2 linked regions of the Canis lupus familiaris genome follow. The protein of the gene in region 1 interacts with the protein of each later gene in a pairwise test. Links are inferred from orthologs where the notes say so. Each region holds a gene or a part of one and is shown in the gene's direction. Other genes may lie near its edges.

Region 1 (3,643 bases):
ATTCTTCTTCCCCACCACTCTGTGACTTTCTTTACTCCATTTCCTCTTTCAGGAGGTTGACTTGCTTCGTGGACAGTTGGGTGACCGACTCAGTGTAGAGCTGGACACTGCCCCCACCATCGACCTCAACAGGGTCCTGGAAGAGATGCGTTGTCAGTATGAAACCGTGCTGGCCAACAACCGTAGAGACGTGGAAGAATGGTTTGCTGTTCAGGTCAGTACCCAGAGCAAGAAAATGACAAGCTTCCAGACTTCTGCCTTATTTGCATCCTCTAATCATACCTGGTTTACAGACAGAGGAGCTGAATCAGCAGCAGCTGTGCAGCGCAGAGCAGCTGCAAGACTGCCAGACAGAGATCCTGGAACTGAAACGCACAGCCAATGCTCTGGAAATTGAGCTCCAAGCACAGCAAAGCCTGGTATGTAAGGGAAAGACAGCTCTGTTTTTGTCACTGAAGAATTAAGCCCTGAGATGCTAGTCCCTCTTCCATGAACCCAAGGAGAGATCCACAGTTCATGTGGCAGAAAGTCTGAATTTCCAATATGCAAGGATTGTATTCTTTGACTTACCCAAATACTGCTGTTTACTGAGCTAGAAGCAGAAGTGATAGGTCAACAGTCTGTACTGTCCCAACAGGATTCCCTGACCTTCCCTCCTGGGCTTGAGCATGATCCTGCAGCACCTTCCAGAGACAGAAAAAGAACAGGAGGGCAGGAGCAGAATGAGAGTGGAACCTCTGAGCTGAAGGCACTGAAGCATTCCAGTGGGTTTTAATTGTGCTTTGATTTGGGCCAACTTCTCAAACTCAGCATCATATAAAAGAATAATATTCAAACTTTGCATTCTTCCACTACCCTAAGCTTTTCCAGGATCCACACCTCAACTGGACCCTTCACTCCACCCCATTTCACCCAGCAATGAAAATACTATGCACTGGGGAGCCTGGCTGGCTCAGTCAGAGGAGCATGTGACTCTTGATCTCAGGATCATGAGTTCAAGCCCCATGCTGGGCATAGAGGTTATTTTAAAAAAAAATTTTTTTAAAAAGGATACCATGCATTGAAGATCACATTAGCCAGTTCCAGTCAGACACCACTGTCTGTGCCACATTGGGGCCTATAGAGACTATCTGGGTGAATAATAGCTACATATTTATCTTGTGAGAGGCTTAAACGCCTCATAATAACTTGATGGGATAAATCCTTTTACTAAACCCATTATCAGATGAGGAAGACTGAGACTCAGATTAAGTAGCAGGGGTCATGCAGTTGTTTTTTTTTTTTTTTTTTTTTTTTTCATGCAGTTGTTAAGAGGCAAAAGTGGAAGCTGGATCCAGCTGGTTCAATCCCAGAGCCTCTTCTCTGAACCATTCTATATGGCTCTTTCCTGCCCCAAGTCCATACTCAACTTCTCCCCTCAAATGCTGTTGATCTTCCTTAATATATATTACAGGTTGTGATGGGCAAGTGGTGATAGTAATAACTAACCCTTGCACAGTTTTGAAATTTTTTCCAGGCACTGTTCACAGTGTTTTACACATATTAATTCATTCAATCCGCACAACCATCCTATGAAATAAGTACTTTGCATTGGTCATTTTTTATAAAATAAAACAGCCTCAGAGAAGCTAAGTAATTTTCCCAAAGTCACATAGATGCACTAGGGTAGATCAAGGATTTGAAAACCAGCACTCTGGCCCCAAGGACTATGCTACACAGCCCTTCTGAATATACTCTTTTTCTTCTGCAGACAGAGTCTCTGGAATGCACTGTGGCAGAGACGGAGGCCCAGTATAGCACCCAGCTGGCCCAGATGCAGTGCCTGATTGATAACGTGGAGAACCAGCTGGCTGAGATCCGCTGTGACCTGGAGCGGCAGAACCAGGAGTATGAGGTGCTGCTGGACACAAAGGCTCTGCTGGAGGGTGAGATCAACACATACCGAGGTCTCCTTGAGAGTGAAGACAGCAGGCAAGTTCCACACGATTATTCTCAAAATCCCCCAAGTCACAAAGAAGCTCATGCAAGAGAATCTTGCCTCCTCAAGGTCTGCCCAAGGTGAAACCTCCCTCATGTGTTAAATGATCTCCTTACAAGAGTAAAAAGACAAACAAAACAAAACAACAACAACAAAAAAAACAGCTGAGGCTAATCACATGACAGTAGAAGTATTCAAAAGTATTCCAAAGTTCTAAAGCAGAATAAGTATCACATACAAAATTTCATGCTGGGCGTCCCCCTTTGTTCCTGACTTCCACCAAAGAGAAATCAGGAACATGCATAAGATAACATTTGCAAAGTGAAATAAATACACAAAACTGTGTATTCAACTGGCACAGGGGCAGTGAGCATTCCTAGTGGCAATGCTGAATCTAGGCCTGAAATAGGCTTAGGTCAAATGCTACTCTGCAAAGAGTGTTCAGAACATCATTTGCAGGGCAAATTTTGGCACGATCTTTTCTGAGTTGAAATTTTACCTGGATTTCCCTTGTTAAGCTTACTTCAAAATTTCCACAGGCTTCCTTGTAACCCGTGTTCTACAATAAGCACATCAAGCAACACTTGTGAGGCATGCTCAGCGTATCTGATTTGCACGGTCGAAAACTACTGTGCATGAATGTTCAACCCTCGGCGCAGTGGATAGAGGAGTCAAAGCCAGCAGTGTCCTGGAAAGGAGATGGGACTTCAATCAGATGCATCCAAATCTAAAAGTCAAGAAGGGGTTTCTACCCTAAATTTGTCCTCTAAACATCCCCATTATATTTCTGCTTTGTCATTTCCTCTCCTGCCTGCTTATTAGTGATATTCTAGGAGTCTATAAAGCTTTCTTGCTAATCTCCAAATAAAATATGTTTCATTCCTTTAGCATGGTAAATATAGCTTTGTGGCTTATAACTGTGGATATAAGAACCATGTGATGCCTAAACCCATGTCGATAGTTTGATTTTGCACAAACCGAGGCTGAAAATAGTTTTTAACTCCTCAAATACAAAAGTTTAACTAATCCATGCAAAATGTCATACATCTTGGAAGACAGTTGTATGTATCTTTCTAAGAGGAAATTTAAGAATAAATGTCTTATTTGTAATTATAAAAGTACAGGATTCCATTTTTTTCTCAATTTGGCACATGAAAGGGGAAAAAATTAGTTACAATTCCACCCCCAAACACCCGTTATCAGTATTTTGGGAGCTTCCAGCTTTCTTTCATATAATAGGTTTTTCCACATAATGGAAATCATATTTACATATGCACATAGTTGAGTAAACTACTTTTTTCACTATGTCATGTAAGCATTTTCAATCCAAATAAACCTATAAGATTGTCCTGTGACTGTTATTTTAGTGGCTACATAAAATACCATAAGGTTATTGGCCTGTTATTGGACATTTGGGGTATAAGAATAATTATTCATACACATTTAAAAAGCAAAGTGGAGAACTCCACCTCCAAAAAAATGAAATGGATGTACATTTCCTCATTCCTCTTCCTAAGTCTGGCTGAAAACCAGGGAAATTACATATAAAAGAAATATAAGCAGATTCTGAAAGGTGGAAGAAGCCAAACCAACTAGAATCATATTCAAGGAACAGCAAGCAAGTGAGTTCCTTGGGTTTTCTTTTGGCCTCATATATCCCATGTT
Region 2 (4,301 bases), on another chromosome or scaffold:
ATAGAAAACCGAACTGCAGAATTATCATTGTTCTCAACTAATTCCCTCAGGTATTGTGAGTAAACTGCAAATACTGTGTGTCTCTTCCAAACTTGAATACATAGATATTATAAAACATAATAGGTGTGATTTCTGTTTCACAGGATGCTTTTGTGGCCCTAGTGTGTGCAATTAGAGGAAACTCGAAATCAGGACGTAGAAAACAATAAAAAAATAATCCGGTCGTATAGAGAGATGGATGGTCTGGAGCAGAAATCATGGTACCCGTGGTCTGGAAGGGGTGTAAGGTAATCTAGTTAAGTTTACTGCTTAACTTGGGAGTAGGAAGAAGATGGCTAGAATGTAAGCTCCACCAGAGAAAGAGTCCTCCACGATCTACTCCAGGTAAATAATATGCATTCAATAAACACTTGTGAATGAATAACGGCAGTGCTAGAACACGAGAAAGGAGGGGGAAAACCCATTCACAACTCGGGGGCTGAATTAGCGGGGGCAAGGGAGTCCAGAAAAAATATTTGCCAGGGACAGAACCGAGCATGTCTGGAAGGAGAGCTAGTTCTGGAGGAAAAGGATGATCCCCGGAAGCTGTGGTTATCAAACCTGCCTTTGTCATATGACCCCAACCGCATTACATCTTACTTGAACAGGTCATTCGGCCTAGGTTAGAGGAGATGCAAATCCTCTCTAGGTTTCCAACAATGCTCTAGCCCCTTGACAAGGCTCCTCGCTAGCGCCTGCACATCCTCCTTGTTCCGCACAGAAACGCAAGGGAGACGGGTGTCGGCGGAAAAGCCGGCAGCTGTGGGGCCCGAGCTACAATCCAGCTTCCGCCGCAGCTACGGCAGCTTCCCTGCGGCAGACCCGGGGTGTCCGTCAAGGGGGGGATGTCGAAGTAGCAGAGTGAAGGCGAAGCGGTACGTCGGGAGCTCAGGTCCAACTCTCACAACTCCGGGTTCCAGGCGATGCTTTGGGGTGCGGCTGGCGGCAGCCGCGAAAGCAGGACAGAGACTGCGGAAAGGCCGCCAGCTGCACGGACAGCAGCCAGGAGGCCTCTACGTGCGTCAGAGTTGGGGCGTTCCCCTCCCGGCAGGCAAAACGCCCCCCCCGCCCCCGCCCAAAGCGCATTACGTCAACAAGCCCAAGAGCAGTTACCTTAGCACAACAACGCCCTCCATCCACCACGCGACTCCGCTCCACCCTCCCCTTGGGGATACGCATGCGCAGAAAGGCAGGACGGCGACGTCAGCCCTTCCCGGCACCGCCTCGTTGTCGTACATCCAGGGGCCTGTCGTAACTGCCGGCGGGAGAGCAGAAGGGCACCCGCGCGGCACACCCTACCCTGCTGGCCGGCCTCCGCGCCGGTCGTTAACGCAGGCCCTGGAGACTGAAGCCAATGAGGCGCGGTGACGTCACTGCGTAGCAGGCCGCGCAGCCGCAGGGCGGGCGGCGAAGGGACGGATCGAGTTCGGTTGCACCGACACCGGTACTTAGGTGCGGAGCGGCGTGTCCTTGGACTTAGAGAGCGGGACGTCCGGCTTGCGAGCGGGCTTCTTCGTTTCGCGCGCGCGACAGAAAGGCGGTGAGCGCCGGGCGGGAAGCCGCAGCACGGGGACGCGCGGCTGTGTCGAGGGGTGCGCGCCCTGGCCGAGGCCGGCGCCCGGGTTCGGCGAGTGGGGCGCACCTGGGGCGGGAAGGCCAGGGGTGACCCCCCCCGCCCCGCCTGGGGCCGGCCAGAAGCCGGTGGGCTACGGCTGGAGACGGGGCGGCACGCCGGCTGGGACGGGGAGTGGGCTCGATCAGGGCCCTTAAAGCCCGGAAGCCGCCTGGATGCTGATCCAACCCAGACCGAGGCCCGGGGGTCTCGTAGCCGGGGCCCAGGGGCTGTGGAAGTGACAGACTTCCCGGGATGAGGGCGGGAATGTGGGGGGCTGCGCAGCGCCCCACGGCCTCCTGCAGAGGCGGCCGGAACTACCGCTCCTGCAAAAACGAGCCCTTTTTCTTCCGAGTCACTTGTCGCTTTTCCCCCCTTAACCTGCCTAGGCATCTCGGGAAGGCAGGTGCCCTCCGTCTCCTTGAAAGCCTGATTGGGTGACCTCGTGGGCGTCTCCAGAGAGCCCAGAGCTGGAGGACGGACGGATGGGAGACCTCCCACCCGCACCGCAGGGCCGTTTATACCGGCCCGAGCAGGCTGTTAGCAACCACAGGACTTGGGTTTTGTAAATGTATTTTCACTGATCAGAGGTGGCTTCACATTGCAGTCTGATTAAATAGGCTTTCTTAAAAGCTGAAAGTTTTGGTAGTTTGGTAGTTTTGGTTTAATGTAATCATGGTTTTCGACTTGACTCAGATTTGTGACTTTCTGTGACCTTGACCTCAAACTTTTGAAACCGTTTTTGAACTAGGTTCCCACTTTGCTTACTTGGGCTTTAGTTCTATCACTCGAATACACATAGATGTGTATTTAGGGAAGTCGTTCCAGCTAGTGGTTTTTGGTACCTAGAGAGCCAGTCGCCAGCACACTAAGTAAAACCAGATTCGCCCTGGTGATTAATACTCTAGATTTGCAATGGGTTAGTAATTCAGTCCCTGGAGCGACCACTGGTTGGTTTTCACTGGATTTTTACTCGGAGGAAAAAAGTAATGGAGTCTTTCATTTTTAGATTGAAAAATGGGTGATGTTGAGAAGGGCAAGAAGATTTTTGTTCAGAAGTGTGCGCAGTGCCATACTGTGGAAAAGGGAGGCAAGCACAAGACTGGGCCAAACCTCCACGGTTTATTTGGGCGGAAGACCGGTCAGGCCCCTGGATTTTCTTACACGGATGCCAACAAGAACAAAGGTAAGGGTCTGGGAGGTGGGGGATCAGTTATTAAATAACAGAAGCACAATTTCATGAATATAACCAATGGTAAGCCCTTTATCAGGAGTGTAAGATACTTAACAATACGTCCCTCCTTGTTTAGGCATCACCTGGGGAGAGGAGACCCTGATGGAGTATTTGGAGAATCCCAAGAAGTACATCCCTGGAACAAAAATGATCTTCGCTGGCATTAAGAAGACAGGGGAAAGAGCAGACTTAATAGCTTATCTCAAAAAAGCTACTAAGGAGTAATAGTTGGCTATCGCCTTATTTATTACAAAACAAAAATGTCTCATGACTTTTTTTTTATGTGTACCATATTTAAATTGATCTCATTGACCAGAATTCAGATCATGAGTGGCTGATAGAAGGTTTCTCTTGGACAGTCCTGATTTAAATAAGATTGGCTTGTGGTTAAATGAATATGATCAGTTTTTTGAACTTTGATAGTAATTCTGGTTCAGCAAGTGCTCTCACTGTTTTCCCCTTCTAAAAAATATGATTGGAATTGATTAGAGATGTGTAGCTTTTCACAGAGATGGTAAATGCCACCTCTAAATTTATAGATTGGTTTTATATTTAGATTTATATAACGGGTTATATTAATATATTTAAATACTGAGGAAATCCCTTCACTCTCAGAACAGCAAGACTCAGCTGTGTTTCAAGTTGTGTTCCCTAGCCTGTTAAAGGCAATGGCTGAAGATAAGCTGGCAGTGTCCACTTTATCTTTTTGGTCTTAACTATGCCAATTTAATTAAAATTCTTTGCATCTAAAATGTTGCCTTTTGCTAATTGAAAGGCATTTTAGTGTGGTTTGTGCGTAATATTAAAATTTTAACACTTGGGTTTTATACACCTGTAAGGTCAGACGCTTTTAAAATTTAGTGTGAGGAGATACAGCAGCAGACTTGGCTTGTGAATTCTTGACTAAGACTACGTTATTATTCAGGATTGTCTTCTAAACAGCTATTCAGTGACACAAATGTGGAATTAACCATGTATGTATGATTGGTAATGGTGCTTTTGCCAACTCCTTAGAAAGGTTAAAATAGAGGAGATCCGTCATCAGCACAAATTTGTACATTATGTGATAAGGTTTAAGATAATTAAAAACAAAGTCACAGATCATGATTTTTCTAATGTGCTTGATTTAATGACTGCCAAAATTTTGAGTACAAGGATCCTAAGCACTGGTGGAGCAGTGTTACTAGCCATAGTACTTGATTGTTTACTTAGTCCTCTAGGACAGTGCGAATTAGAACAACACTTCAGTCATTGATCTTTAGAATTTCTATTGGCCAGAATGAGGAGTGGAGTGTTTATGCCAAATATAGATAGAATAACGTGCTTCTAGTCCTTGTTTTGTGGTATATAACTGTATGATTTATATACCAAGTTATTTCATACATGGTCCATGCCATAAGATTTAGAGTAGGCCCT

The links. The genes of interacting proteins can lie anywhere in the genome.
Region 2: the proteins of KRT40 (region 1) and CYCS interact in binary tests that used the Homo sapiens proteins (3 or more experiments, as listed by UniProt). The two-hybrid records come from large-scale screens. The link is inferred for Canis lupus familiaris from reciprocal best matches to the Homo sapiens genes KRT40 and CYCS.

Annotation. Positions count from the first base shown.
Region 1 is NC_049230.1:21,662,818-21,666,460, forward strand, and holds the end of KRT40 (keratin, type I cytoskeletal 40), read left to right. Parts: exon of another isoform or gene 1-52; coding exon 53-214; intron 215-282; exon of another isoform or gene 283-293; coding exon 294-419; intron 420-570; exon of another isoform or gene 571-683; intron 684-1,750; coding exon 1,751-1,971; exon of another isoform or gene 1,972-2,089; intron 2,090-2,477; exon of another isoform or gene 2,478-2,517; coding exon 2,518-2,617; 3' UTR 2,618-3,096; downstream 3,097-3,643. UniProt on the Homo sapiens protein: May play a role in late hair differentiation.
Region 2 is NC_049235.1:38,663,676-38,667,976, reverse strand, and holds CYCS (cytochrome c), read left to right. Parts: upstream 1-1,453; 5' UTR 1,454-1,579; intron 1,580-2,660; 5' UTR 2,661-2,668; coding exon 2,669-2,837; intron 2,838-2,961; coding exon 2,962-3,110; 3' UTR 3,111-3,989; downstream 3,990-4,301. UniProt on the Homo sapiens protein: Electron carrier protein. The oxidized form of the cytochrome c heme group can accept an electron from the heme group of the cytochrome c1 subunit of cytochrome reductase.